3 linked regions of the Arabidopsis thaliana genome follow. The protein of the gene in region 1 interacts with the protein of each later gene in a pairwise test. Each region holds a gene or a part of one and is shown in the gene's direction. Other genes may lie near its edges. The genes, in order: AT3G19460, AT3G29270 and YLMG2.

Region 1 (10,584 bases):
ATACCCATTATATGATGCATGTTGTTAAATGACTTTTGTGGTATGACAGAAGATTTTGGTATAAAGTTGACTTGACATTATTGTTAATTTGAAGATAATTGAACGTGCTACTGTTACACATCTGACATTCGTTTATAACCACACCTGTCACTGTTTAGTCTTCTAAATTAATATGCAAACAAAAAACTCTGTCAATGTGGGACTTGTAGGGGTAACTGAAATATACGAGTAAGATTCCGTAATAACTAAAAGTGTAATTTTGATTTACAGGCACGAGGTAGTAGGTGAGGTGTTGGAAGTGGGATCAGATGTGAGCAAGTTCACCGTAGGAGATGTAGTCGGAGTCGGCGTGGTCGTTGGATGCTGCGGTAGCTGCAAACCATGCAGCTCAGAACTTGAGCAGTATTGTAACAAGAGAATCTGGAGTTACAACGATGTCTACACCGATGGAAAACCTACTCAAGGTGGCTTCGCCGACACCATGATCGTCAATCAAAAGTAAGCACACGCACACACCTTGTTTCACAAGAAACACACAGAGCATTTGTTTCTTCATCCACAAGTAACTTATTTTTGTTTCAAAAGGTTTGTGGTGAAGATTCCAGAAGGAATGGCGGTGGAGCAGGCTGCACCGCTACTCTGCGCGGGAGTAACGGTTTATAGTCCGTTGAGCCACTTCGGTCTAATGGCGAGTGGGCTTAAAGGAGGGATTCTAGGGTTAGGTGGAGTAGGGCACATGGGTGTGAAGATAGCTAAAGCAATGGGACACCATGTGACTGTGATAAGCTCATCAGATAAGAAAAAAGAAGAAGCTATCGAACATTTAGGAGCTGACGACTATGTGGTGAGCTCTGATCCAGCAGAGATGCAAAGACTCGCAGATTCCCTTGACTACATCATTGACACCGTACCGGTGTTTCACCCTCTCGACCCTTACTTGGCTTGTCTTAAACTCGACGGGAAATTGATTCTCATGGGTGTTATCAACACTCCTCTTCAGTTCGTGACCCCTCTCGTCATTCTTGGTCAGTACTATTTCTTGCGTTTAAATCATATCTAGCTAATAACAACAAAATTCAATAGCAAACCTGATGTTTTTTTCTATATTTTGACAGGGAGGAAAGTGATATCAGGGAGCTTTATAGGGAGCATTAAAGAGACAGAAGAAGTGTTGGCTTTCTGCAAAGAGAAAGGGCTTACGTCGACGATTGAAACTGTGAAGATCGATGAGCTTAACATTGCGTTTGAGAGGCTTCGCAAGAACGATGTTCGTTACAGATTTGTGGTTGATGTTGCAGGAAGTAATCTGGTGGAGGAGGCTGCAACAACTACAAACTAAAGAGGGCAGGGCACATTGATACATGAACGAAAAATTGTAACGGGCTTGTTTGTCCAACGAATGTTTTGTTGTTGTCTTTTTCAAATGGTTCAAACACGAATGCTTTGGCTTTATTTTTTTCTAATCAATGTGGATTTTCTGTTTACGTGTGTTTGTCACAAGAAAATCATTATGATAAGAATTTTCTTCCACTTGAACTCAAATTTGTTAACAATTCTGAATCTGAATTATGGCTGACACCAATTGAAACTGAGAACCAGTTTAAAGTGATTATAAAGAAAAGTGAAATCTTTTTATTGCCAACCAACTTTGGGCTAAGTATTAAAAGAAAATAATACTTTTTTGATAAGAAAAAAAAAAGAGGAAAATAATTTGATTATAATTAAAATCTAAAAACTTTTTCGCGGAAGCGTTAAGGAAAAATCTTTGATCTTTGGAAAGGAAGAGAGCAGGCGCAATCGAGTAATCCAAAGGAGTTGCGTTGTTCTGCGATCACGAAGCGGTCTCTCGGCAAATCTTTCGACGCAAGACATCGATTCGTGTATTTCATTTTTGCTTTGGAACTCTATGCGGAAGAACCCTAATTGATTCGCCATGGGAGATTCCGTTTCTTCTTCATCCCGCGTTTCTGTTCATCAATCTCTTGGTGCTGGTTCTGGTCAGTCTCTCTATTCGATTTATTGAAGCCTATTTTGGCTTTTCTCGAGTTTCGCTTTCGATTCAATCGCTCTAGAGTTTCGCTCTATTCGGAATCTGGAATGTTGCGTTGATTGGCGTAAATTGAGGGTTTTGTTTGATTGTTATGTGCATTTGGGGAATTTTTAAACTTGATCATAATTATGAACAACAATTTCACGTATTTGGAGACATTTAGGAATCTCTTGACTCGTGACTCTTGTGTCCTTAAATGCAATTTTTTGCAGTTGCTGATTTGCTGCTATGGAGAAACCGGACTGGTGCAGTCATTTTGCTAATCTCTTCTACTGGGTTTTGGTTCTTATTCGAGAGAGCTGGATACAATCTCTTGTCTTTCGTCTCCAATGTTCTGCTTCTTCTCGTTGCGATCTTCTTCTTATGGGCCAAGTCTGCTACAGTTCTCAACCGGTAAATCTCTGCTTATTCTATTCACTGCATTGTTGTGGAAAAAGATGAAACCTTTATGCGGCATTGATGGATTGTGTTGATAGTAGAGCTTGCATTAGCTTCTTCTTTGTTAAGTTACTGCTTCACCATTTGAAAGAGACTATTTTGGAGCATAAAAGCTTATGAATACTGGAACTTTGCTTTGACAACCCGAGTCATGTGTGTTTTTATTCTTATAAAGTATACAACTGATGTGGTTTTATTTCAGACCGCTACCTCCAGTTCCGAATATGGAAATCCCTGAGGAGTTTGCAAATAAGGCTGCTGATGATCTTCGGGTTTGGATCAATTATGTACTGTCAATTGCAAGTGATATCACCATAGCTAGAAATCCGATTCGTCTCCTTCAGGTTTTCTTTCATCACTTGTGGCAAACCATTTGTTGTATCTTTTTGTTTCTGCATGTGATGTATCTCACTGTTCACATCTCGTTTGTTTTTGCTGTGAAACAGGTTTCTCTTGTCTTGTGGGCTATATCCTATGTTGGGACTTTAATCAACTCCCTCACTCTTGTTTACATTGGTGAGCGTCTAACCTTTTCTTGTCGGTTATATAGTCTATGATCTTGGTTGATATGATTAACTAATGTGTCGCTGTTTTTATCTTGCAGGAGTTCTTCTCAGTCTTTCTTTTCCTATTGTGTATGAGAAGTACCAAGACCACATTGATGAGAAAGTGAACTCGACTTCTAAATTCGTTCGAAATATCTCAAGGAAGTTTCCATTGCCCATAAACAAAGAGAAGAAACATCAGTAGGTAGTGTAAGTAGTCTCTGATGAATTGATCCTTTGTGGTCCGAGAAAGAGTTAGTTTTCGACTGAGGTTTTACTGAAACGCTGCAGGTGAAAAACAGTCCATTTGGTCACCAGACTAATTACAGCTACAAGAAGGAGCCATTACTGTAATGCTACAAGAGGATAGTCAAAGAGCAGCGGAAAAAAGTGAATCACAGTACAGATTTTCGTTCATTTCTTTCTGTTTCGCTTACTAGGAGTTTTCTTCTTGTGTGTTTTTGTTGTGTTCAAGATTCATGAGTTTCTGGTTTTTTTGGTCTTTTAGTTTACACGAATGCTTTGTTGCAGTATTGTTCCAGTAGAAACGAGAAAGATGAATCTAATACAACTTGAGAGGTTATTCAATAATTAATTTGTTGATTATTAAAGATTACAGTTACAGTTTCAACCAAAACAAAATGTGATATATGTGCCTAGTCGTCTTATCTCTCTCTCGTTCACATTGGATAGGCTTTTGGGCTTTTAAAGTCCACTTTCAGTGAACATGGACCCGATTGAGCTTTATGGGTTCTTGTTTGTTTGTTCTGTCGGTCGTGATTCCTGAGGATAATTGATCTTTTCTTCTTTGTTAACCTAAGTTATTTGGGATTTGCTCTTGTTTTGTTCTGTCTTAATCGAATCCTCAAGGGATTGTGCCGTGACTGCCGTCTTCAATTGTTTTATATATATCGAGAGGCCGAAGAAATCTGTAATCACAGACAGAGGAAAAATAAGAATAAGGTGCAGTTTTTTTGTTCTTTGTTGTTATTTAAGAAGATTAACGTAAATAGTTTCCGACATTAACTAGTTTGCGTTACATTGGTCCTGGTTGATAATGAAGAAGATGTACAATCTTCCAAGAGATTTGCCGGAGGAGGTGCTCTGTAGAATTCCGTTGACATCTCTGAGGCCTGTCCGATCTACTTGCAAAAAGTGGAGCACTTTATCCAAATGTGGGAGCTTTGCAAAGAAGCACCTTGCTCAAGCAAAAGTACTAGCAGACGCAAAGGAGTTTATGGTGGTCTTGATGATGAATTTTAGGGTTTATTTGATGAGAGTCAATCTTCAAAACAACGTTGTTGAATCATCATCATCATCATCATCATCATCATCATCATGTATAAAACGTGAAGCTAAACTTATTAGCTTAGGCGATGAAGAAGCTGATATATCTCAAGTCTTTCACTGTGACGGTTTATTGTTATGCATCAGCATCACCGAATCCAAGACTAGGCTCGTTGTTTGGAACCCGTATTGGGGGCATACCCGGTTATTCGAGCCCACACATCAATTCAACAAATTCGATAGCTATTCGTATGCTCTCGGATACGACAAGAGCCGCAAATCCCACAAAATCTTGAGGGGTATTACTTGTTTGGATCCCTTCAAAATCTACGATTTTAACTCTGACTTATGGAGGGATCTTGATGTAACTCCGGAGTGGCACTTATGGCAAATGCTCCATGGCGTGTCTCTCAAGGGAAATGCCTACTGGTTTGCTAGAGAGAATTATACCGAAACAATGGACACAGACCATTTTTTCTTACTCTGTTTTGATTTCACAAGCGAGACATTTGGGCCGCCTTTGCCTCTTCCGTTTGAGTTTGCTGTTTCTGAAGATACTATGAGTGTATCTAGTGTTAGAGAAGAGCAGCTTGTTGTATTATATCAGCCGTGGGATTATTTACAGTTGGACATCTGGGTGACGTCTAAGATTGAGCCCAACGCTGTGTCGTGGAACAGCAAGGTGTTCTTATCAGTGAGTTTAAAACAACTCGTCAGCCCTCAGTTTCAGTTAACTTTTGGGAGTTTCTTCATCGACGAGGAGAAGAAAGTCGCTGTGGTTTTTGATAAAGACTACGATAATAAGCGCAACATAGCTTACATCTTTGGAGTGGATGGATCCTTTAAAGCAGTTGATCTCGGAGATTCAGACCGAAAGTGTTTTCCACTTGTGTGCTCTTATGTTCCAAGTCTAGTGCAACTTAATTAGTCGACCATCTATTCCTTGCTTACTTTTTTTCTTCCTCTTTTGTCATCTTCTTTGAACAAGATCATTATTTGTTAGTCAATAACATATTAACTTGTTTCTCATACTTGTTTTTGTTTGCCATATATATTTGAATTCGTTTCCAAATGGTGCACACGCTCCTTCCCCTGCAGCTAATCGTTTGTTACTTTCAGTCCCCTTAAGTTGGAGCAAACTGTATGCTTCTTGGTTGGCATTCTCCGCGAAAGCATGCATCGTTTCTTCCAAGAGTCTTTAGGTATTGATAGTTCATCGTTTTCTTTTTCTATTGTAACACAGTAGCAGTTAAAGATAAGTCGAACGGGTGATCTTTTTGTTCATTAGACAAAACTAGAGAGGTTTCTCTTCTCTTTCTTCTAGTAAGGAACAAGGCTAAGGTTAATAGATAGCTAGCTATCTGAGATATCTCACAAAAGCTTTCACTATGGCCCTGTACTATATCAACTTCATATTTTAGGTGTTTCATATTTCAGATAAAATGTGCTCATATCTTCTTCCTCTTTGTTCAGCGTCTTCTGCAAAAGTGATATAGATCTTGACATGCTGCTAAAATACCTCTTGATATATTTAGTTTTTCTTACCAATTTAAGTTATAGCATAATCCTTTTATCATGTTAGTTATTGTTCTATCCTAATTGTCTAGCATGGAGTAGAATGATTTTGAAGCAGGGACTTGTAGAACGATTTTTCGTGTGCCACAGGTTTACTCCCTTCCTTAATGTGGTGACCAGCGCTTGTCCTTGTGGTCTGTCCACTCATTCTGCTATCTTTCAACGAATATCACAAAATAATAGTGGTTAGTATGTCTCATATGATTACCTTAAATTTAGCGGCTACTGACTGATGAATCATGAGGCTTTACGCTACTACTATTTCTCTTGTGTTCCACAAGGCGTTTCCAATACTTGGTGATATCCTCCAACGACATCTGCCTAGTATTTTGACCTTGCCAGTTGCCAAATCAATTAATAAACCCTTCACCAGAAGATTCTTACTACATCAAACAATAAATAAAACTAAAGTTTGACTGGAAGAAGAGTTTTGGAACGTTAGACAAATTTTCAGCATTTGACGATATGAAAGATGTCTAAATCTAAAGAAACAGAGATACAATTCTTTCAATATTATATACTTGCTAACTATCAAGAACAGGCATGAAAAAATAAAAATATTAAAAAAAAATACATATTACTATATAGAATTCATATGTCATCGATAACTTTTACATTATTTTTTACAATCCGCCTTACTTAAACGCGCCTTATCTAATAGATATATAAATGTATCTCTATTTATATTATAATTTAATTTAAAATCAATATAAAAAAATGTGTTTTTTCAATTTTTAAACCACATAACCTAATAGTATAATATTTGATATATTATTATTTTGTTTTAAGAATGTAGTATATTTGTATTTTATTAGCAAAACCATTATTAAATTGTAACTTTTTTTTCTTCTATATAAAGTTTCAAAATCCACTTAAGAAGTGAAGATATAAGTGAACAAAGGATGTAGCGTAATCTAGCACAACATATTTAAACCTCACAAAACCCACCCGAAAGATGAACCCATATCTCTCTACTCTGTTGCTGACGATACATACACCTTTACTTACATTATATTCCCGCCATCGCGATGGCGACGTCTCTGAATCTATCATCGATCTTCTCCTCCTCCTCAAGGCTCGTCACCACTCCCTCCTCTGTTTTTCCCATCCGTCAGAGGCGACGGATCATCCTCGTTACGTCTTCTTCTTCCGGAGGTGGAGGAAAACCGACGATTCTCGTAACGGAGAAGCTAGGCCAAGCGGGGATCGATCTGCTTAAGAAGTACGCTAATGTGGATTGCTCTTATGATCTGAGTCTCGAGGAGCTTTGTACGAAGATCTCTCTTTGTGATGCGCTCATCGTCAGGAGTGGTACCAAGGTTGGGAGAGATGTGTTTGAATCGTCGCGTGGGAGGCTTAAGGTTGTTGGACGCGCTGGTGTTGGGATTGATAACGTCGATTTGGCGGCGGCGACTGAGTATGGGTGTTTGGTTGTTAATGCTCCGACTGCGAACACTGTGGCTGCTGCTGAACACGGAATTGCGCTTTTGACCGCCATGGCTAGAAACATTGCTCAAGCTGATGCTTCTATCAAAGCTGGTGAGTGTTTTAAACGGTTGTTGAATTTGAATAGCGATTTGAGAAATTGCGATGTGAAATGTAGAAATGTGGTTGTTTGTAGGCAAATGGACGAGAAACAAGTATGTAGGTGTTTCACTTGTGGGGAAGACTCTTGCTGTTCTTGGTTTTGGTAAAGTTGGATCAGAGGTTGCTAGACGAGCCAGGGGACTTGGTATGCATGTCATTACACATGATCCTTATGCACCAGCGGATCGTGCACGAGCTATTGGTGTGGAGCTTGTTAGTTTTGAAGTAGCTATTTCAACTGCTGACTTCATCTCTTTGCATCTGCCTCTTACTGCTGCTACTTCGAAGATGATGAATGATGTGACCTTTGCGATGATGAAGAAAGGAGTCCGTATTGTTAATGTTGCTCGTGGTGGAGTTATTGATGAGGAAGCTCTTTTGAGAGCGCTTGACTCGGGTATTGTTGCTCAGGCAGCTCTTGATGTTTTTACAGTAGAGCCACCTGTTAAAGATAATAAGTTGGTGTTACATGAGAGTGTCACTGCCACACCTCATCTTGGTGCTAGTACTATGGAGGCTCAGGTATTACATACTGTATATTCGTTTTGCCTTTAGTGCATTTTGTTCTGCTCTCCTGAAACCTTTACTTGACGCCTAGGAAGGAGTGTCTATCGAAGTCGCAGAAGCTGTTATTGGAGCTTTGAGAGGAGAACTTGCTGCTACCGCGGTCAATGCACCAATGGTTCCACTAGAGGTAATTTCAGACTTCACTATAGAGTCCTTAATTCAGGATCAAGTTTCATTCTTCTAGTTCTTGGTGATATTGCAAGTAGTGATAATGATTTGTCCTGCAAATTCTCTGACACTGTTCAGTTGCTATCTGTTTTCAGGTATTGAGGGAGCTGAAGCCGTATGTTGTACTTGCTGAGAAGCTTGGGAGGCTGGCTGTACAATTGGTAACTGGTGGAAGCGGTGTGAATGCTGTGAAAGTGACTTATGCTTCTTCCAGAGCTCCTGATGATCTCGACACTAGACTTCTCCGAGCCATGGTCATAAAGGGGATCATCGAACCCATTTCCAGCGTATTCATAAATCTGGTTAACTCCGATTATATTGCCAAACAACGTGGAGTCAAAATCTCAGAAGAACGTATGGTTCTAGACGGCTCACCTGAGAATCCAATTGAATACATAACTGTTCGGATAGCAAACGTGGAATCAAGATTTGCCAGCGCTTTATCAGAGTCCGGTGAGATCAAAGTAGAAGGCAGAGTGAAACAAGGGGTTCCAAGTCTTACCAAAGTCGGATTATTTGGAGTGGATGTGAGTTTAGAAGGGAGTGTGATTCTGTGCAGGCAAGTAGATCAGCCTGGGATGATCGGTAAAGTTGCTAGCATCTTAGGAGATGAAAACGTCAACGTGAGCTTCATGAGCGTCGGTCGAATCGCTCCAGGCAAGCAAGCTGTGATGGCAATTGGAGTAGATGAACAACCAAGCAAAGAAACTTTGAAGAAAATCGGAGACATTCCTGCCATTGAAGAGTTTGTTTTCCTCAAACTATAGGTTAATACTTTACATGGATGCACATAAGAAAAAACTCAGAGATCGATATAATCTTAAATGATGATTTATTCTGTACTAATGATACAATCGAGTGTACATGAAACAAATTACATAGTTGATTTTTTCCAAAGCGGCATGTCGACGAAGTGATGTGTTATTGTTGCAGCCAGCCAGGGATTTTTTCTTGTTTTCTCAGAGAGAAGAAATACAGAGATTGATGGAGCCTATGAACCAGTGAGAAATGGGATCTGAGCCACAGTTGTTGGGATCTCGAAATGAAGATTATGAACGGCCAGATAAGCTGCGATACCAGCAGCATAGCCAGCAAAAGCAAAACCACTAACCTGCATGGAGAAAAAAAAAAAAAACTGAGTTTCTTGCGCAGAGCCACAAGAGTATTGAGTTTCAGTCTGGTTAATGCAATGTTGTGTTGTTGATCGTTAGACAAGCCGGAAGAATGTATCTTACCTTTCGGAAATACCAAAAGAAATCGACTTTCTCCATCCCCATGAAGGCTACACCAGCAGCAGAACCAATGACAAGCATCGAACCACCAGTGCCGGCACAGAATGCAATGAGCTGCCAAAATTCAGAATCTTGAGGGAACGATGTGAGATCATACATCCCCATAGTCGCTGCAACCAGTGGAACATTGTCTATGATTGCTGATACAACACCGATAGCACTTGCAATGAGCTCAACGTTGGGTATATTGGCATCAAGGTAGTTTGCAATCTCCCGGAGTATCCCAGCTGCCTCAAGGCTGGAAAAAAGGAAAACAACATCAGAAAAGATTGTGAATTCTTAAGAGTAATGGAACATAAGGAGTTTGGAGATGAACAGTTGATTTAATACCTGCTTACGGATAAAAGAATCCCGAGGAAAAACAGAGCACCTTGTGTGTCTATTCGAGATAAGGCTTGAGGTACTTTGAGCTTTTGTCTTTCTGATTCACCGTAATGAATGGCATCTGTCAAGATCCAAAGAACTCCAAGACCCAACAAGATACCCATGTAAGGAGGCAATCCAGTTAGAGCTTTAAAGACTGGAACAAAAACCAATGCTCCAAGGCCAACTCCAAAAACTAGCTTCCCTCTTGGAGCCATCTTTTCAGAAGCCAATACATCTTTAGGATCCTGTTCCTTTCCATTTACCTCACTGAGAAAGAAAAAAAACTTACATCAATTAGCATATACATTGCAAACATTTACGAGACAGTTGAAGCCAAACATAGTCTCCTTTTTCGTTTGAGGATGCAAGAAGAACTTAACCTGGTCAAAGACATGAGGGCTAGTGGAACAGCAAGAGACACAACCGAAGGTAGAAAAAGGTCCTGAAAGGAATGTAAGTAAACCTCCATCAAGAACATCAAAGTTGGAGTGACCAAATAGGGGAATACTTTAACCACTTTTGTCTATACAGTTCAAAACACTTAGAGAGCATGCCGAGTAACAAAACCAGCTGTCGTACCATGATCACGATCAGAGGCTCCAACAAAAAATTACGACATTAAGTAACTTCAGAATCACTGGTGCTTTAGCCAACCTTTACTTTCTTATTCTTTCTGAGTCAAATACAGGCAACTCCACAAATTTTCAAT
Region 2 (10,722 bases), 4.5 Mb from region 1:
TTTTAACTTGTTAATATGGATGATTTTAATCACCATAATTTACTTAGGGGGTGTATTGGAATAAAGATTTGGGGGTGTTTGGTGGAAGTTACATATTTTGGAGATTTGGTTAGATTTGATTAAATAATTGGTGATTTGGTTAGATAGGTTAGAGTTGTTATTTAAAAAAAAAAAAATCATAGGTGATTTGGTTAGATTTATTAGATTGATTTGGTTAGATTTTACAACAACAAAATGAAAGAAAATCAACGATCATAATTCTTGGACTGGGTTAAACTCAAAATGCTCATAACATACCTTTCACATTCCATTTTATGTGCCTAATAAGACTCATAGAAACGTTCATATAATCTTAATAAAGCCAAAAAAATGAAATTATAATTCAATCAAAAAGCAAAAGAAAGCTCTTAGAATTATAGGTGACGTTCAGTCAGATATGTTGGTAATCAACACCTTCAAATCTCAAATCTCAACAAGCCAATAAAAAAAGAAAAAAAACAATCTAAAAATATATAACATAAAATGTTTATTATTATGATTCCATATTTATAACATATGTCCACATGTTTTCTGCTATTGTTGCTCTCCAATTATTAGCAAGTACTCTTTGTTGTTCTTGAGTACCTTGACCCTCTTCATACGCTTATTTTTCTCATCGCCGCTTTCATCAATGCCATTTTCTTCGAGAACATCTTTCTTAGGAAAAACACATCCGAACGACATTCCTTACGAAGATAATTATGTAAAACAACACATGCAAATATTAACTCTGCTTGTGTCTTATATGGAAAGGGAGGTGCATATTTGAAGATAAGAAATCTTAATTTGAAGATTCCAAAAATCCTCTCTATTACGTTTCGCAAGCTAGAATGCCGATGGTTGAACAACTCATTTTGATTGTTGGGATCTTTTCCTTGTCCTCTAAAGTCTTGGAGATGATACCGAGTACTTCGAAATAGAGCAAAACAATTACGACAATTGGCGAATCCACAGTCAACTAAATAAAAAAATTTCTGTAATTTAAAGCACAAAATATAAGTAGGATAAAATACAAATTAATAACAAAAAAAAACTATTTTGTCATATTCTAAACAAGATACCTTCAGAAACTTTTAATTTATTTGTGTTTCTTGTTTAGGCATCATCTAATACCTTTGAGTCTTGAGCTGAACCTTCCCATCCACTTAGAACATATATAAATTCTAAATCAAAATTGCATGCAACAAAACATTTTGTGATAATTGTCCTTTTCGATTACGGTAACTAGCTGTTTCTTTTCCTGTTATCATTGCAGGGATATGTGTTCCATCAATAGCGCCCACACAATCCTAAGAAAATAACAAACTTAATGGTTAAAATTTACAATACTTAAAAGAAATAAACACAAAAAAAATAACCACGTACCTTAAAATAAGGATAAAATCTTGTGTTGTCTTTTATTTTCGTGGGCACTACAAGTGTAGGTTTAGCCATATAGCTTGGTGCAAATACATTTAACACCTTCAAAATTGTATTAAAGCTCGTACTTATTGAGAATCTCGACCTCTTGAATCTATCTTGAGCCTGGATATACCTCAAATTTTGCCCAATGATGAACAAAAAGGAAGCAAGCATTTCTTCAACTGAAACATTCATTGTATCTCTTAAACCCATCTTCACTTAAAATATACTGCATAATTTCAGGAATTCTTCTGGATACATGCGATACAAATGTCGAAAATGATCGCGATCTTCAACAAACATATTTTGTATGTATTCATGCCCAAGTCTAGTAGTTGGAAACTTGTGAAGCAAAATATCGGATTTTCGCAAGGATAGACAAAACCAGTAATAAAACCAAAATTTTTTGAAAATCACAGTTTCAATACACCCCCCTTATTGTTTCTATGGATAATTTTTATCACCATATTTCATTTAATACTCTACTTCACAGTTTTAACATGGATGATTTTAATCACCATATTTTATTTAATATTTTATTCACCATAGTTTTACTAATGTTGAGATACATTTGGAGTCCCTTGGGATAACGGAGACTATAAAGGAGAATAATTCTTCGACGGCCCAAGAAAAGACAAAATCGGTGATCTTCCTTATAAGACAAATGGATGAAAGTGTCATATATGACTATGCACACATGAGAGATCCTAAAGAATTCCGGAAATATTTGAAAGATCGTTTCGATCACCAAAGGGACATCACTCTCCCACTTGCCCGAGACGAATGGCAAAGTCTAAGGTTTCAAGACTTTGACAAGGTAATGAACTACAATTTTGCCAAGTTGGGAATTGTCGCCAAACTGAGATATTGTGGTGAAACTATCACTAAATCTCAGATGCTTGAGAAAACGTACACCACGTTTCACAAAAACCACATTACTTTGCAACAACAATATAGGTTGCGTGGATATACCAAATTCTCAAATTTGATTGTGGCACTCTTAATAGCTGAAAAAAACAGTGAGCTCCTAATCAAGAATCACATGTCCCGACCTACCGGATCAAAGGCATTCCCTGAGGTTAATGCATTGGATGTTAAAAATCCGCTTAGAGAAAACAAAATTTTTTGGGGACGGGGCGCCGAAGCTATCACAGACGTGGAAGAGGCTTTAATCCACAAACCAGGAAGTCATACCAAAAGATTCGTCCTGAGCATGAATCGAAAGGAAAAGAAATCCAAGCAAATACTTTTCAAAAATGTGACAGTGCTTGTTTCAGATGTGACCCTAAGGCACATCGGTATCAGGTATGCCGAACTCCAGCACACCTTTGTGCTCTGTACAAAAAATCTGTTAAGGGAAAAGGAAAGGAAGTGAACCTTGCGGAACATTCTGAGGGTACAACCCACCTTGATGCTTCTGACTTTGCTAATGATCTCGATGAGGTTGTCCTTGTGGAAAACTGAAATTTCTATCGTGTGGGGCTCGAATTAATATGTCATAAATAAATCGACGCTTGCTTGAAATTTCCTAAGTTTGTGTGTTTGTATTACCTATCATGTGTAATTATTGTGTGCTTGTGTTACCTATCATGTATAATTATCGGGTGTTATATGCTTGATTAATAAATTTATTTTCTACTTACCTTAATCGATTATGTTTATTTCAGAAATGGATCACATTACAAATGGAATGGTATCCAAGGCAAACCTTAGAGATATTTGCATACCGAATAGTGGAACAACACACACTATTCTAAAACAAAAAAAAAAATTCTCTCATTTGAAATCAACAAAAGTTATTGTTAACACAATATCAGGTCCCATAGACTTAATTGAATGGACCGGTAAAACAAATTTTGCATTACTTAACGGGACAAAGTTCTCGATAAATAATGCATTATTTTTACCAAATTCAAAAAGAAATTTGTTGAGTTTCAAAGATATATACCTTCATGGATATGACACTCAGTGTGCAAGTGAGAATGAAAAAAAGTACATGTATATCACTTCTGAAAAATTGGGAAAAAGACACGTTTTGGAAAAATTACCAAGACTCCCATCAGGATTGCATCATACATACATTAATTCAATAGGATCACATCTTGTTATCAAAAGAGATCATGATGATTTCACATTGTGGCACGATCGCCTTGGTCACCCAGGCACCACGATGATGCAAAAAATTATAAAAAGCTCACATGGACATTCAATGAAACCCTAAGAGTTTTATCAAGAAAATAAAAGGACATGTGTTACGTTTTCTCTTGGAAAATTGATTATAAGGCCATCGACAAGCAAAATCGATAAAGAATTACCAAAATTCCTTGAACGAGTCAAATGCGACATTTGTGAACCTATACACCCACCATGTATACCATTATATTATTTCATGGTAATGATAGACATGTCTAGTAGATGGTCACATGTTTGTTTGTTATCATCTTGAAATGTGGTATTTGCGAGATTTCTAACTCAGATAATCAAAACTAAGAGCTGAGTTTCCTGATTATCCAATCAAAGGAGTTAGATTAGATAACGTTGGTGAATTTACGTCTCAAGCATTCAATGATTATTACATGGTAACAAGAAAAAATGTCGAACATCCTGCACCCCATGTCCATAGTCATTCGAGGGAGAGCTTGTATGATTATACTTTTTTACCTTACTGTGGTTTCTACCAATGGATTTTATTAGAAAAGTTTTAACGAGACAACATGAAAGATATCGCAAAGAGATAAATGACAAATGAACTCTGGACGAGAAGAATGTTGCAAAAATTAAAGAAATATTTACATATTAAGTCCATTTGCATTTTATCTATATACACTCATATAGATAAAAAAAAAACAACGTAAAGTTTCTTTTATTATTATTTTTCTTTCGTGATTGTTCTTTTTCTCATATTTCTTCTTTTTAATATATTTATTATTATTCTTTTTAAAATATTAAAAAAATTGAATTGATAAATAACTTATAATACAAAATTCTATTAAATTATATTAATAAAATTAACCGCTCTGTGTTTTATTTTTTCAGAGGTTTACTTAATCTTCAATAAGCGTAAATGTTTTGGTTGGTAATGTTATTATGTTTATAAAAAAACAACTAACCAAGTTTTTACGTTAGAAAATATCAAAAACACTTTTGGAAGGAAAACTTGGGTACACGATTGAAACGACGTCGTTTATGAAAGCAAAACAAAACCCAGAAAGTTTAGGTCTCGCCGGAAAAATCGAATCAAGCATCTTCTTCTTTCACGTACGAAACAAAAAGCTCAGAGCAGAGTCGAATCGGTACGAATCTTTATCTAAATCACTCTGATTTAGTTTCGGTTATTGTGAACCATTTGATTGCTCTGTCCTTTCAATTATCTATCTAGGTTCGATTACTTCGTTAGCTGCTTAATTCTGTGATCAATTATCTCATTTAGTGATTTTGATTTTAGGGTTTTCTCTTTCTTCCTTTAATCTTATATTGGGATCTTCTGTATCGGATAAAGTCATAACCTTTGAGATAAAGGAATCATCTTTATTGCTGAAAATGATTGAGCTTTAGGTCTAATACAAGTCTGAGAGTCTGATTTCGATTCTGAGTATAAAAATTGAAACTTTCTATTTAGGGTTTTCTTAATCATTTGTGTTGCTATGGTTGCTTAATGTATCACTAAATCTTGGTCTTATTAGTTGGTTGCTACTGATATAGAATTGCATCTGTGAGTAAATTTAGCTCAAAGATAAAAGAGTCCCCTTTATCGCTGAAATGATCGAGCTTTGAGCTCTAATACAAGTTAAAGCGTTCGAATAATCGATTCTGATCATAAAAATTGAATCTTGCTATATAGTAGTTGCTTAATCATTTGTGTTGCCATGGTTGCTCAATGTAGCACTTAATCTTAGTTGATTCTTAGTTAGAATTGCATCGGTGAGTAAACTTGGCTCAAAGATAAAAGAGTCCCCTTTATCGATGAAATTGTCGAGCTTTGAGCTCTAATACAAGTTAAAGCGTTCGAATATCGATTCTGATCATAAAAATTGAATCTTGCTGTATAGTAGGTTCTTAATGATTTGTGTTACCATGGTTGCTCAATGTAGCACTTAATCTTATTAGTTGATTCTTAGTTGGAATTGCATCGGTGTGTCGTTGGGATTGTCTTTGAAGGATTAATATGTGTTTTCTCTTTGCTTATGAAGCGATGAAGCATCGAGTTCGGTGTTCATGAAGGTCAGAGAGTTAAGTATTAGCAGAACTGGTTAGGTCTTAGTGACAAACAAGGTATTCATGTTATCCATCCCTGATACTAGAATGTGGAATCTAGCATCGAGTTATCTTACGGGAAACATTGGACCGAAAAACGATATCAGAAGACCGGTCCATGCTCATGCGGAGTGTTCAGATGACGATGTATCTTCTGTAGGTAGTAAAGACGAAGGTCTCGAGTGTCCTATATGCTGGGAATCATTTAATATAGTTGAAAACGTTCCGTATGTGTTATGGTGTGGACATACGATGTGTAAAAACTGCATTTTGGGACTTCAATGGGCTATTGTGAAATTGCCTACTCACCCGGTTCAGCTTCCTCTCTTCATTTCATGCCCCTGGTGCAACCTTTTGTCTTTCCGTCTGGTCTTCAGAGGAACACTCAGATTCCCTCACAAGAACTACTTTGTGCTTTGGATGGTCGAGAGGATGAATGGAGAGAGACGTAACTCACCTGGTGGAGCTCAAACAGATGGAAACAATGATCATACAAGGGAAACTCCATCTCCATGTCTCCACAATCGCCATCATCGCAGTCAACCTGAACCATCACGTTCTGTTAATGATCATCGCATTCCAAGGGACAACATACAAACTTCACTGAGGAAGTCTCTGGTTTTCTTTGTCCAGTTGACAGCAAAGTTCCCATTAGTTGTCATATTTCTGCTGATAATACTCTATGCAATACCGACCAGTGCAGCCATATTGGCGATGTACATTCTAGTCACTCTCTTGCTGGCTCTACCGTCGTTTCTCATCCTCTACTTCGCTTATCCTTGTCTCGACTGGCTTGTTCGAGAGATTGTCACATGAACTTTCTAAGGATGCGTTCAGAAACTTCCCATTCCTAATTTGACGACTTTTCTTCAACAACTGAGACCCAAGATCGGTCATGTAAGTATAACAATTTCGTAATTACCGTCTTCTTTATCTATATATGGATGTAGTTTTGGATTGCATTGTTGCTCTACGAAGCTGGACGTATGTGTTGTAAGGGCTCTTGCAGAAACTTATTAGTATTTGTGGATTTGTTTGTGAGTGTTTGAGTGTCTCAATAAGATTTATGTATATAAAGTTTATGCAATGTTATTTAGGAATTGCGTAACTAAATGCATTGATTTTTCTTATATATAATGACTAAATTGTATGGGTTTTTTTTTCTTTTGTTTGTTTGTTCCACCCATTTCCATAGAAGAAAGCAAAAGATGACACCCAAAATTAGGGGTGGGTGTACGGCTTTTCGGTTTGGTTTCGGTTCGGTTATTTCTCTTTTATGTTTTCTATGAGTTCTAGTCTAGATCATTTGAGCTTAAAGCGTTAATTGTGTTCTACGATATGAAACAAAGACTCAAAGAGCATTCAAATATGATGTATACACAAAAAGAAAGAGTTAAGCTGTCTTAGTTTATGTGTCCCTCTTCCACCGCAGCAAAATCAAGCCCGGAAATCTTCATCGGTCCAATGTTAACTGGCAAAAACCCCGGTGTGTTGATTCAACAAAACAAGACAACATAAATGTAATGAGAATGGCACAAGAATAAAGTGTTGGTTTTACTTACTAACAGCATCAAGTCCAGCTAATTTGGGCATAAACTGTCTGATATGGTCCTCTGCTGCTTCATCTGCCTTCAATGTCTCACACTCGAACGAAACCGATACTTTCTTCTTCCCGTGTTTTTCTTCGACTAATCCTATCACATCTTCCTCCCACCTTTCCAAAGACAAGTAGTCATATTCACTAAACATAGGACAGTAAAAGACTCTCACAAAAAGGTTTTCAAATTCAACTCATTCGAATGTTTTCTCCGAAAAGCTAAGAGCATAACAGATACGAGAACAAGGACAACTTACCCGTGAGCATGCTCGACATCATTAATTCGAGCAGCATCATGGCCTTTGCACTCCACTACAACTGTTTGTTCCTTCTTTCTCTTTTTCACCAAAAGAAACCAAGGAACAAACTCAATATCATGGTTTTGGAAATTAAGAGTTAAGAATCACAAAAGGAAGTGAGAAAATCATACATTGTAGTCTATGATAGTGAGTTTGATCAACCGATAATCCTCACCGCGGCTACACTCAGTCTCACAAGCTAGTTCTTTAAACAGAGAAAAGCAACATCAATAATACAACAAATTGCAGTGAAATCAAGCAATGTCATGTCAAAATTGCCACAGTAACTAAGCCATTGGATCTTTATCAATCATTCCAGTATCAATAGATGTAACTAGTGCAAGATTAAGTCTTTAATCTGAATCATTTACATGCTTGAGAACCAAACATTTCTATCAAATCCAAGCAAGAACACAAAACATCTAATTGCAAAACAGAATCAAACTCAACAAAGAGAAAAGACCACATTTTTTTGGTTTGCCCTAGTAAGAAGAGATTTGAAGTTACCAGTGCCATGGAGGCCATAACAGATAGAGCTAGGCATCTGAATGAAATGACCAGAGATAGTCCCACATGGTAACAAAGCTATTGATGCTACTCCTTCCTTCACTTCTCCTTCTTCATCTTTCTTCTTCTTCTTCTCTATCTCTCCTTCTCTTCCTTCATCTGCAATTACACCAATTCCTTTACAACAACATCATTCAACAAAAAAGAAACAGTTTCGAAATAAAGCCAGAAACTTTTACCCATTGTTGCTTGAGAGAGAGAGAAATCGATTCTTTAATTCACTACCAAAGTGTTCGGCTTTAGGGTGTTTTCAACTACTTAAAATCGAGAACGTTTTAAGATCCTTAAGCGACGTCGTTTCTCTTTTCAAAGCTTAAAACTACGTCGTTTACTCTCTGTCTCTGATGTATCTTCTTCTCCTTCCTCAGCCACAGAACAAGCTTTGATTCATCATTTCTGCGAAAAGAACAGAGCTTTGGCTTGGTTTCGTGTCTTAGGTACTGGTTCTTACGTAGCTTATGTTCTTTGTTTAAGGAAATTTAGGGGTTGTTTGCTTAGACTTGAAGTGGGTATTACTAAAGTTGTCAACTTTTTGTTGAATAGGAAATGGTTTCTCAGATTTCGTCTGAATTATGCTAAAAGATCAAGTTCTCTCTGCTCGGTGTTGAAATTGGAGGTGTTAGAGATTGCTGCGTTTAGCTCTTCACTGTATTATCATGGGAGCTGTCTGGTTGAGTCATGTCTCTCAATTGGTTTGTGGATGTTATTTAATTGAGCAGAGCTCTTGTGTTTTGAGAACTTTTCATTGGTCTTTGAGTCACTCATTGAACTTTACATTGACCATGAAGCCTAAACGAAGGCGTCTAGGTGTAAAAATGGAGTCTTTTTCTTTGGCAACACCAAACATGTGTTTCAGGAAGGTGAGTAGTGAATTAGACAGTTCTTTCAACGGTGAAAATGTGGTTTGTGGTTTGGAACTGGAGGAGAAGACTGCAGGGGATAGGAATAGGATACATTTTCTAGAGGAGCGGAACGAAGAAACTTTATCGAAGAGGCTTCGGAAACTTAGCAGGTTGGATAAAGTCAGAAGCGCATTGGAGTTGTTTGATTCTATGAGATTCTTGGGTTTACAACCTAATGCTCATGCCTGTAACTCTTTTCTCTCGTGCCTCTTGAGGAATGGAGATATTCAGAAAGCTTTTACCGTCTTTGAGTTCATGAGGAAAAAGGAGAATGTTACAGGGCACACGTATAGTTTGATGTTGAAAGCTGTTGCAGAAGTTAAGGGTTGCGAGTCTGCATTAAGAATGTTTAGAGAACTAGAAAGGGAGCCGAAACGTAGGAGTTGTTTTGATGTGGTTCTATATAATACTGCGATTTCTCTATGTGGACGGATAAATAATGTGTATGAGACAGAGAGAATATGGAGAGTTATGAAAGGTGATGGTCATATTGGAACAGAGATTACATATTCTCTGCTTGTTAGCATTTTTGTTCGGTGTGGGAGAAGTGAATTGGCCCTTGATGTGTATGATGAGATGGTTAACAACAAGATATCTCTGAGAGAGGATGCAATGTATGCGATGATAAGTGCGTGTACAAAGGAGGAAAAATGGGATTTGGCCTTAAAGATATTTCAGAGTATGTTAAAGAAAGGGATGAAGCCTAATCTTGTAGCTTGCAATACTTTGATAAACTCGCTGGGAAAGGCGGGTAAAGTCGGATTGGTGTTTAAGGTTTACAGTGTTTTAAAATCCTTGGGGCATAAACCAGACGAGTACACGTGGAATGCGCTGCTCACGGCTTTATACAAAGCAAACCGATATGAAGATGTTCTTCAGCTGTTTGATATGATAAGAAGCGAAAACCTGTGTTGTCTAAATGAATATTTGTACAACACAGCTATGGTGTCATGCCAAAAGCTTGGTTATTGGGAGAAAGCTGTGAAGCTTTTGTATGAAATGGAAGGTTCGGGTTTAACAGTTTCAACTTCATCATATAATCTAGTGATAAGCGCTTGCGAAAAATCAAGAAAATCGAAAGTTGCATTGCTAGTATATGAGCACATGGCTCAAAGGGATTGTAAGCCAAACACGTTTACTTATCTTTCGCTTGTAAGGAGTTGTATTTGGGGTTCCCTTTGGGACGAGGTTGAAGATATCCTTAAGGTACGAGTTTTCTTTATGTTTGTTACTCAAATGTGTGGTGGTTTGGAAGAGGTAGTCTAATGTTGTTTGTTTTCTTGAACAGAAAGTGGAACCCGATGTATCGCTTTACAATGCAGCTATACATGGGATGTGTTTGAGACGCGAGTTCAAGTTTGCAAAAGAGCTGTATGTCAAAATGAGAGAGATGGGTTTAGAACCGGATGGCAAAACCCGAGCTATGATGTTACAGAATTTGAAGAAACACCAAAAATAAGGTTATAATTGTACGTTATCTACTCATACTTATTTGCATTTGCCAACTGCCAAGTATCATAAGTCAAAATTCACTAAAACAATTGGTCTGTAATTAGGCATTGTATGCATACTCACTGTGATGAATGTTCTGGTGATGGTGATGTTTGTTTGATAAATGAGGTTGTGGACATAGATCAAAGGTTTTGGCGATGACATAGCTCGT
Region 3 (10,234 bases), on another chromosome or scaffold:
AATTGGAAAACTTTGCACGCAAATTAGGTTACTCTTCTCAGCTACGTTTGCAGATTTTTATGCGGAAGAGAAATAATACGCTGGATAACATACCAAGAGAGGTGCCAATTAATATGGCAGTTGGTGTTGCAAGGCCCAGTGCACAGGGGCAGGAAACTACCTGATACACACAAAAAAACGAGTTGATTATCTGCTCAATATTTTCTTTCTCCAAAATTTCTTTCTACCCGAATTTAATCCTACATTCACTTCGTGAATTCACATTTTCCCCACAATCACCATTTTCCTCCCTCGTTAAGTCCGGCTAGTCCATGATATTTTCACATGAAAGATATAGCTTTGAGATGCATGTCTCACTCACCAAGACATCCACAGCCAGTTTTAAGCTTAAGGCCAAAGCATCTCCATCAGGTCCAGCAATATCATTGAGTAAAACATCTGGGAATATGTGTGAACCGACATAATACCTGAAGCAAGAAAACATGGGTCTTTCACTTGATCCAGAACAGGTAATTGACATATGATACTTCTACATTTCTACTTTATACTATAACTAAATAAACATAGCCTTGCTAAATAAATATATGACTCTTAAAAGAAATTTCATGTTATTTCCGTTAGAAATATGAAAAGAGGACCATACCAGAAGGCAAACGTCATTGCAGATAAAGACATTATAGTATAGACGAAGGGTCCAGCTATTGCATCTGCCAGCCTCTGTACAGGAGCTGCATTACCTTGTGCATCCTCAACCTTAAAATTCAGAAAAGAAAGGGTGTGATGAATTAAAGACGCACTACAGAGGAACTGAGGGTTCTGACATGATTTCATTCATACTTTCCCGTATGAAATTAGGTTCAGCTACAAACTTGTAAATGAGTTCTATTTGTAGGATTGTGACTCATTCATGATATTTCTATTTGTTGCTGTCTTTTCTTTTTCTGTTTTCGAGGAGGAAAGTCGGCTACAAATTACATAGATTACTGGCCACACACAATGTAACTTTCATTACATTTCATTGGCTCTAGATTCATAGACACTAACCATTCTGACAATTTTAGATATCGTTGAGTTGGAACCAGTAGAAGAAGCTTTGATCCGTAGAGGGCCATCCTGAAATAGGTAAAGTGAGATTCAGTTATTCAAAAAGATTCATGATCAGTGTATGTAAATCTAACTTAGTAACTGAGCACAGTTAGTTACATAAGTAGCCTTTTAAAAAAATAAACTTTTGTTTAGGTTGCGTATACTTACCCAGTTAATTGTTCCCGCTGAAACTGAGCAGCCTTCTTCTTTAAACACCGGAAGTGACTCTCCTGTCAGCATAGATTCATCTACAACACTTCTTCCAGCTAGGACACTCCCCTATGAAGAAAGTGATTAATTTAACATAATATCACTACTAGAATCAGAACTACTCATTAACCAGTCACAAGGATTATAACCAAGCTATCTTGAGCAAGAAAAAATAATATCCATTATCACGTGCAGAGAAGAATGTGCAATTAAACTGAATCTCAAAAAGAACTGAAAGATCCACATGTTTTTTTCTCAGCACTGATAAATTGAAATAGAACTCCTAAAATTGCAGAATGATGGTTACCAACCATTTAGATAGATTTTCATAACTCTTTTCGGAAACCCACACTATTATCTTTTGCTATGATCAGACAATTCAGCATGGATAAGCAACTAGGGAAATCGTAAGATGTCAGAAAGACAGAAACACTTACATCGACAGGAAATGTCTCACCAGGCAAAACCAATAGCGAGTCTCCAACTCGGATATCATCAACTGACACATTGATGCAAATTGAATCAGAGGAAAGTACAGAATCCACTGGGGTGTTATTGTCTGATGAAGTAATCACAAGTCTTGATTGAGTGGAGATGAGTGACTGCAAAAATACGTTTCAAGTCAAAAAAAAGGGAGGAAAAAGCCTACAAGTTAATCTTGGGAGGAGAATCAAGAAATGTCTAACATACCAATAGTTCATTCATATCGGTAGATGCTTGAAGCTTTGCTCTTTCTTCCAAAGAACGACCAAGGAGCACAAAGCCAAGCAGCATGACCTGCATACTAAATGACAAGAGCTATCAATCAGAAATTTACTATTGAAACTGTATTTTGCATGTAGTGGAAGTAATAATAAAAAGCTTTCATCCTCTTGTGGATCTGCTAGAGAAACTCACCGGTTCATCGAAGAAGGAAGCATCCCACTCCAGTTCTGGATTAACTAGTGAGATCTGCAAAATTCAGAATGCAGAAACTGCAGGTTTTCAGAATAGGATACTCACCAGTCAAATATAAATTACAGGGTACAAAAACTCACCAAACTGATGGAAAATGCAGCCATGGATCCCAATCCAACTAACGAGTTCATATTAGGTGATCTTTTCCCGAAAGCTTTTATGCCATCAAACAGCAATTCTACAATATACATCTATCTGTTTCAGTCATTTGTGTTTCCGAACAGCCTCAAATATCACTACCACCACTTTGTTATGAAAGTCGCAAAGAATAGTAGGAACCATCACTATCACTTAAGAAGTTTGAAAATTCAGAGTTTCTCTCTTATGACAACGACGACTCAATTAAGCTAACCATTATCCATAAGAAGAACTGATTCAACAAAGCTCACCTATATAATCAGAGTAGAACACTAGCACTTATCTAAGTCTAAACAATAGCCTAAGAACGACTACTTTGTCATCTCTCTCTTATGATACTAATTACTAAACTTATTATGCATTAGCTGGTAAGAATCATAGATTCGAACTAAAAGTTTAAACAAAAGCAAACCTCTTCCTGGTCCCAACAAAGCTCCAACGGCCAAACCACCTTTCACGTAAGAGTTGTGTAGCAAATCCCAAATCCCTCCTAGTAACATCAGGTGCAAGAGAAAGTCATAAACTACATCTCTTATCCAACAAATGACATCTAGCATCACAATTTTTTTTGCATTATAATCAATGTACCATGAGCAATGTGAATTCCCAAGGAATGAAGAATATGCGAAGTGTGAGACCCGCAACACAGAGCCACCAATGTCCACGCAAACGCCACACGGTTCCTGCTCTTAACAAGCAAGTCCTCTTTCTTACTTACCATCTCCTTCCACTTCTTCACATTCTCCGCCACTCCCATACCCGAGACTCTCCTCTTAGCCTCAAAACCACTCTCTGTCAATCTCTTAGCTAAACTCTCTGCCGTATCCGCCGTCACCTCAACCTCCGGTTTAAACTTCACAGCCGCGGTTTCAGTCAGCATGTTAACCACAGCAGACGCGACTCGATCATCAGACATCAAAACCGATTTAACTCGGGCGACGCAGCCACCACACATCATCCCACTCACATCGAGGAGAATAGGCGTGTCGCTCGTAATGGATTTCACAGATTCGATTGAAGATTCAGTAGATTCAAATGATTGAGTACTTATCTCGACCGAGTTTGATACTAAAAAAAAAGGTCGCGAACAGTGCCGCCGGATACGAGAACGGCGCAGTCTTGGAAAGCATCGGTTCACGAGGAACTTACTTGGACGAATATGAAGACTCGATGGCGGAGGAAGAGGAAATCGGAGAAGATTGCTCGCCATTTTCTCCGGCGAGACAGACGACGATAGTCACGCGATGTATACAAGTAAGAAACTAGTGGTGGACTGGTGTATGGTTCGTTAAAAAGAGTATCGCTAAACGTTGACACGTCGGATTTGGAATATATCCGAACATTAGCCATTTTTGTGGAATTTTTAAAAAGCCAGGCTGTCACCAGAAAAATCAGAGAGAGACATAAAACGCAAAGTTTTAATAGGTAAGACCTTCTAACTCAGCTAGAGGATTACAGCCCCCGGGACACAGCGATGCCACGTGTCATCTTCCTGAAATATTGTTTTTTGTTTGGAGGTAACTTTATCTTCTCAAGCTTTCTTCTTCTACAACACATCTAGAGCTTTGCAACAATGGAGGCGAGTGCGAATGAACCAGCTATGAAAAGCTTGAAATCCAATCCTTCAGGACCGATACCGAACTTTTTCGTATCGCTCTCTTCGGCATTTACGCAAACACCTCTTGTGCGTTCGAACAAACCCAATTTGCTTCTTCTACCACCAGTTGCAGACTCCGTCAAATTGATTCAAGACTTTCATCAGTCTCTGATTTCTGCTACTGAGAAATTTAAAGGATTCCTCCATTCGCTCGCCTCTAAGAACCCTCTCTTTCAGGAAGCGGTTCGCCTATCTTCCGAATTTCACATTTTGTGCGACGAGGTAACTTCTCTTAGCCTGCTTATGCTAAAGAATGTTATGGATTAAGTTAAGAAGATGATTGTGTGTTTCTCATGAACTTGCCTTGGCTCTGATTGTTACTGTAATGGGTGAATCTTTGTGGTTTCTATTTATACAAAATGGGTCATTCTTTAACAGCCAGTAGATTGTTGTCTAGATCATTTAGCATTTATTGGAAAACCTTCTCACATTGATAACCCTGAGTTATATATGTCCTCAAGTTGGGATCTTTTTTGGTTCTTTTCTTGTAAAGATGAAACTTGGCTTCTGGATAAGTCCGGTTATGATTTTGTGTGCCTTTGCTTCTGGTTTTGGGTTCTTTATGTCTTAAAGATGAAGATCATTTTGTTGCATTGCAGATTCGTTTGAGAAACACTACAAGGGTGAGGTTTGCGATGTCTAATCACGGATTTGCAGCGGTTCTGCCTGGAGATTCAGTTGCAGGATTGGTGGTTGCTAATGGTTTGATCAATTTCCTCAACATATATAACACCATCCTTGTCGTCCGTCTAGTACTCACCTGGTTCCCGAGTGCTCCTCCTGCCATTGTTAACCCCCTCAGGTAAAACGTTGCCTTCAAATGCCACAATGATTTTATATCTTATCCAGGTTTAAAAGTTTTCGATCAATCCATGAAAACAAAATCTAGATCATAGAAGTCCTATTCGTGATTGTTGAAGGTAGTCTTTTTACTTGATTTAGAGGAAATTTATTTTGGATAAACTCTGTCTACTACTTTTTTGTCCAACTCTTAAATGGATTAAAGATTGGTTAAACCCTGATTGATCTGCCCAGGAACCCTAGTTGATTCCTATTTATGTGTATATGCGTTACCATTGTTTCAGCACTTTATGTGATCCATACTTGAACATTTTCCGGGGATTCATACCGCCTCTTGGAGGATTAGATTTGTCTCCCATTTTGGCGTTCCTTGTTCTCAACGCCTTCACCAGCTCGGCTATGGCACTTCCTTGCGAACTCCCGTCAGCTGATGGAGCCGTTTCTCCAGCTTCTAGTGAGACAAAGTGGGTGAGAAGGAGAAGGTTGAGCAGCCACAAAGACCACAGACCGAGCTCAGCTTCTATGACCTGAACCTGTCTAAAATATCTACTCTTTTCTGCGCTTCAAATGTAAAATCTACCTTTCGAGTAATTTTATTACTCTGTATCTTTGGATTTCTGAGTTTTGTATAAATTTTCTTTAGAAAATGAATAAAAGAGTTGTGTTCCTGACATACAGAAATATTGTAAAAATTTTGCAAGAGATGAGCTTTTCTTCTTCATTTGTGGCATCAAAACAACTTTCGCTCAGATTCTAACCAGAGGCTTTGCATATCAAGACGAAAACAAGAAGGATGAGGATGACAAGCAATCCACCAAACGAACCACATAGCCTGTGAATCCAGTAAGGATCAAACCTGGTCAAGCTCGGGTCACTGTACAAGGACAAGGCTATGGCTAAAATCAACAAGAGGAGAAGCAGAGAGAAGGAAAACATAAAGCTGAAGAGTTCTTCTTCCTCTTCTAGATCTTCCTCTGATAATCTGTCGATGTAGAGTGGTGAGAGCACGGCTAGTACCGACAAGCTTATGGCCAAAAGCTTCCTGGAAGTAGTAAACCTCCCCATCATCGGGCTGGATGATCCCGTTTCCATCAGAAAAATGCCAGTACAAAATATATAAAAACAACTGGTAACTTTCTTTACAATCCCCGGTTGGTGTTCATCTGAACTAAAATGGCTTGTTTCTTGGTAAGAATCTGAACACAAGTTGCAGGATTGTTTCAAAAAGCCGTTTAGATGGTATGGTTTAGCTATTTACTCAAAAAGAGAAGAGAGAAAGAAGATTCTTTCGTTTCTGGTGAACAGTTGTGACCACACACTGCTAAAAATATTCCAAGGGATCATATGCTTAAAACTTTTCTTCTCTTTCTATTAGTTCAATCTTTTTACAAAAAGCTGATTCTAAAAGACATTGTAACATTGTTCATATATCACTATCTTTTTTTCTTTACTATGAACCTGTACAACAGCTATAATTTGGTCTAACAATGAAGAAAGGTCATCAATTCAAAGCTATATATACAAACGCCAGTTGTCTACTCATCAGAAGAACTTGGCACCTACACTTGGGTAAAAGTTATCAAGGTGAGCATAGAGTGAAGTCAGTTTCAATCCGGTAATATGAACGTCTGATCTTGAAAGTTCTTCAAGATATGTATCCTCCACCTACAACGATAATACTGTCATTTAAGTACTTTTGACACAGATCACCCCAAGGTTCAATTCAACATAAACAAAAAAAGGCACCAGTGTAACCTGAATTACAGGTTTCTCTATAATATCATACCTGCGTCCATCCAAATAGCTTGAGTGATTGAAGTGACGAGCAACAACGCAAAATCCGTCTTAGGTCATCTTCTTTGAGTCTCCGACACCACGAGAGGTCCAAGAATTGTAACATCTTACAAACTTTGGCAAGCGAAAAAGCAGTCTCTGGACCAACCTGTTAAAAACAAAACTCCTCAAACACTTTCGAAAACCAACTTGAACATGAACAAGACTTTAGGTACTAAAAACACTCACATCTCGGACTTTGTTTAGGCAGAGTTCTCTAAGAGAACCTCCCGAGACTTCAAGAAACGCGGCAATACATTCGTCACTGTCAAAGTAATCCCATACATTGATGATATTCAGAACACTCAACGGATGTTATGTACAAAAAGAACAAATTGGGAGACTTGTACGAACCTAAATCTGTTACTTGTAAGTTTGAGTGATTTCAAATATCTGCAACCCTCAGTAATAAACTCTAATGACTTATCAGTCAATTTATCCAAGTCTGTGATGTCAAGAGCTTCTAGCTTCTTACAATATCTCCCAATATGCCACATGCATTCATCAGTCACCTCACTAGTTACCATTATAGAGAAAGCAAAAAAAACATTAGTTTTCAGCATAAAACTTGGTAATGAATTTGGTATATCAAGGCCTAAAAAGAGTAACTTACTTGCAATTAGCGAGAGATAGATCAGTGAGAATCGAACTACGGAACATAAAGAAACTTCTGACAACACCATCATTAACACTAACGAGTCCCGCAACCGAAAGATAGTTCAATTTCTCGAACTTATACAGGCTGCTACTAAACCCTTTATGCTTTTTAATCCCTTGACATCCACCAATACTAAGCCCTCTAAGAGTTGAACCAAACTTATCAGCAAGAATCCTCAATGCACGATAAGTGAGAAGAGAGCATTCAGTGAGGTTAATATACTGAAGCAGAGGAGATGATTTCGATATCAACAACAATGCATTGTCTGTTAAACAGAACGCTCCTTGAAGAGATAACGTAGTCAATGACGGGAATCCGTTAGGCGCGCGTTTAAAGAACTGGTTTATCGTATAATCCGTCATCGATCTTCCGCAAAGATCAAGAATCAACACCTGCAAAAGATTGAAACTTTCACAAACAAAGATTGCTACCAAAAGTACTTCTTCTATAACAAATGGATTCTAATATACCTTCAAGCTAACTCTATCACAGTCACAGAAGATCTTTACCAAGTCATCCTCCACTAATTGGACACAGTTCTTAGCGCAAATCTCACTCGGAGAATCTTCAATCAAAAGCTCCATAAGACGTGTATCGAATTCACCTAAACCACTAACAAGATACGAGAGCTTCTTCCTCAAGTGATCAGGAACAAGTTTCAAAGACTTGATAGCTAAAAAATTCTGAGCAAGAACTCTCGCACTCAGCTCCACAAGCGAAGGAGCTTTCCTTCGTACATTCAGATCTATCTCCATATCACTTGTTGTAGAGATCTCTTGTCTTCTCTTCTTGATCGATTCTTTAGCTTTTCGAAACTCACTTTTATCTTCATCTCTTATTACTTCTTCTTCTACCTCTTCCTCCGTTTTTTCAACAATCTTGAGATCTGAATGCAATTCAAGAGCAAAATGTTTCGCAGCTTTAAAATTTCTCTTAACTTCATAATCACGCCAATAATCTGAACCAGTTTTAACAACGTCTGCTTCGGTGCTTTTTCTTTCTTCCATCTCCACGTCTTGATTTTGAAACCCTGATAGGAAATCACGAGTCACAGCTTCCTCCGTCGCCATGAAAAGTGCATCGATCGCTTCTCCATCGGTGTTGATTCGACGATTTTCTCGAGAATCGTTGGGGAAATCGGAAGAATTCATCGTGTGGTTGCAGCTAGAGAGGGTTTTGTTTATGAAGACGAAAGAACAAAAAAAACAATTGGGCTAAAATCAGAAAAAAGGAAAGATATATTTATACTTTTTCGTGACGAGAGATGTATTTTTTTCAGTGGATCCCATACGGAATTGACCTTAGTAGTCAACTCCTCTCATTATTGGTTCCTTTTTCTATAAGGAAATAGTTTTATTTTCTGAAGAATGGTTATATTTTTTTTATTTAGAAACGAGTTCTATGTATTTATGTAGGCGTTAAATTCTAATTTTTTGCAAAAGAATTATGAAATTTTGGCGTTTAGTTTATTAAATAAAGTTAGAATATAGTATTTTGGGTTTAAAATTTAGTTTTGTTGAGAATCTATTTATAAAATATATATATATATATATAGTGCGGAAGAATTGATTAACAACTAAATGAAGAGTAAATTCGTCTATAAGAAAATATTGTAACGAATTTGAAGATTTTCTGTTTGATAAATATATAGAACAGCATAAGCCAAGGCCTTCTCCAACTAAGATGGGCTCATGAGGATTCCAGGCCCATTGTGCTAATTTTCTATTTCCATTACTTCTAGAGCCCATGGGCTCATGTTTCAAGAAAATGTACTACTCACTTTCAGATCATTTTTCTTCTTCATTGGTAATGTACTCAATCAGCTGTTTGGTACTTTTGAAAAGAAAATGTTTTGTGTTTGATAATTTTAAGTATATATATATATATATATTTATAATCAACACCATAAAAACACTACAAGTCTCTCATGTGCTGACACCTCAGCTTTTTCAGTTAACCACAGCTTGACACCTCATTAAAATCAACAGTCAATCAGAACATTTCGATTAATACACCTCATTTACATTAACCAATAAAAACTTACTATTTTTCCATGTCATCCTATTAACTTAACAAAATTAAAATTAGACATGGGCCTAGCCAACCAAACTATTTTCAAAACTAAAATCTGTATAAAAATATGGGTCTAAACTTCATAATCTAGAAAACTTAGACCTCGGAAAATAAACCGCAGCGCTGTACCAAACCAAAACCGATGAAAAAACTAAACCGAACCGAACAAATAATTTGAAAATAACCGCATGGATATTAAATTCTATAACTGAAACCGAATGGATACAGACCAAAATATTTTGGATAACCGAAACTATCCGAAATATAATTATATTTTTAAAATTATTAGTTATTTTTAAACCTAATAATTAAAAATAGATATATAATAGTAAAAATAGTCGAAAGTAACCAAAAATATATGAAAATATCAAAATAACCAAAATATCCAAAAATATTTTAAAACAATAACCGAATAGATATAATTTTTAAAACCGAAAGAACCGGAACCGAACCGAATCCGAACTCAAACCGAACCAAAATTTTAAAATAACCGAATGCATACTAAACTTTATAACTGAAAGAACCAATAACCGAATAGATACGAACCGATACTGGATAAACAATCGAATGCCAATGACTAAGAAAACTTATCTAAAAGCTTGACTGGTTGAAACGAAGTGCCTACGTTTGTGACTGCATGAGTTTACGGAATCAGACGGTTGTGGTTTCAAGCGTTATAAAACTTTTTGAACGACTGGTTTAGAAATTGGTGCGTTTTTGGAAGCTTTATGACTGGTTAACGGATTTACATTTATATTAGGAAAATTACGGGTTTATGTTTTTGGCAAGCTAATTACAGATTTACGTTTTTGGCGGGAAAA

The links.
Region 2: the proteins of AT3G19460 (region 1) and AT3G29270 interact in a two-hybrid assay, tested with the Arabidopsis thaliana proteins (one large-scale study listed by BioGRID).
Region 3: the proteins of AT3G19460 (region 1) and YLMG2 interact in a protein complementation assay, tested with the Arabidopsis thaliana proteins (one large-scale study listed by BioGRID).

What each region holds. Positions count from the first base shown.
Region 1 is NC_003074.8:6,745,667-6,756,250, forward strand, and holds AT3G19460 (Reticulon family protein), read left to right. Parts: upstream 1-1,640; 5' UTR 1,641-1,933; coding exon 1,934-1,997; exon of another isoform or gene 1,998-2,246; coding exon of another isoform or gene 2,247-2,262; coding exon 2,263-2,443; intron 2,444-2,690; coding exon 2,691-3,004; intron 3,005-3,092; coding exon 3,093-3,238; exon of another isoform or gene 3,239-3,324; 3' UTR 3,325-3,663; downstream 3,664-10,584. Other genes in the region: ATCAD4 (GroES-like zinc-binding alcohol dehydrogenase family protein), read left to right, coding at 271-498, 586-1,025, 1,116-1,339; AT3G19470 (F-box and associated interaction domains-containing protein), read left to right, coding at 4,100-5,248; AT3G19480 (D-3-phosphoglycerate dehydrogenase), read left to right, coding at 6,924-7,434, 7,517-8,004, 8,081-8,176, 8,313-8,984; NHD1 (sodium:hydrogen antiporter 1), read right to left, coding at 9,209-9,328, 9,453-9,747, 9,840-10,142, 10,256-10,317.
Region 2 is NC_003074.8:11,229,608-11,240,329, forward strand, and holds AT3G29270 (RING/U-box superfamily protein), read left to right. Parts: upstream 1-4,565; 5' UTR 4,566-4,733; exon of another isoform or gene 4,734-5,630; 5' UTR 5,631-5,718; coding exon 5,719-6,510; 3' UTR 6,511-6,851; downstream 6,852-10,722. Other genes in the region: AT3G29280 (uncharacterized protein), read right to left, coding at 7,098-7,165, 7,257-7,435, 7,549-7,628, 7,722-7,795, 8,098-8,256, 8,337-8,340; emb2076 (Pentatricopeptide repeat (PPR) superfamily protein), read left to right, coding at 8,814-10,265, 10,348-10,518.
Region 3 is NC_003076.8:7,236,496-7,246,729, reverse strand, and holds YLMG2 (YGGT family protein), read left to right. Parts: upstream 1-3,849; 5' UTR 3,850-3,964; coding exon 3,965-4,270; intron 4,271-4,647; coding exon 4,648-4,850; coding exon of another isoform or gene 4,851-4,854; intron 4,855-4,889; exon of another isoform or gene 4,890-5,133; coding exon 5,134-5,380; 3' UTR 5,381-5,529; downstream 5,530-10,234. Other genes in the region: PAA2 (uncharacterized protein), read right to left, coding at 94-160, 362-467, 644-753, 1,045-1,113, 1,255-1,365, 1,734-1,898, 1,987-2,073, 2,194-2,247 and 3 more; AT5G21910 (uncharacterized protein), read right to left, coding at 5,603-5,941; AT5G21900 (RNI-like superfamily protein), read right to left, coding at 6,392-6,514, 6,636-6,791, 6,872-6,947, 7,037-7,198, 7,296-7,732, 7,811-8,491. UniProt on the Arabidopsis thaliana protein: Not required for the biogenesis and accumulation of native cytochrome b6 in the thylakoid membrane. Not functionally involved in the pathway for covalent binding of the c-type heme to cytochrome b6.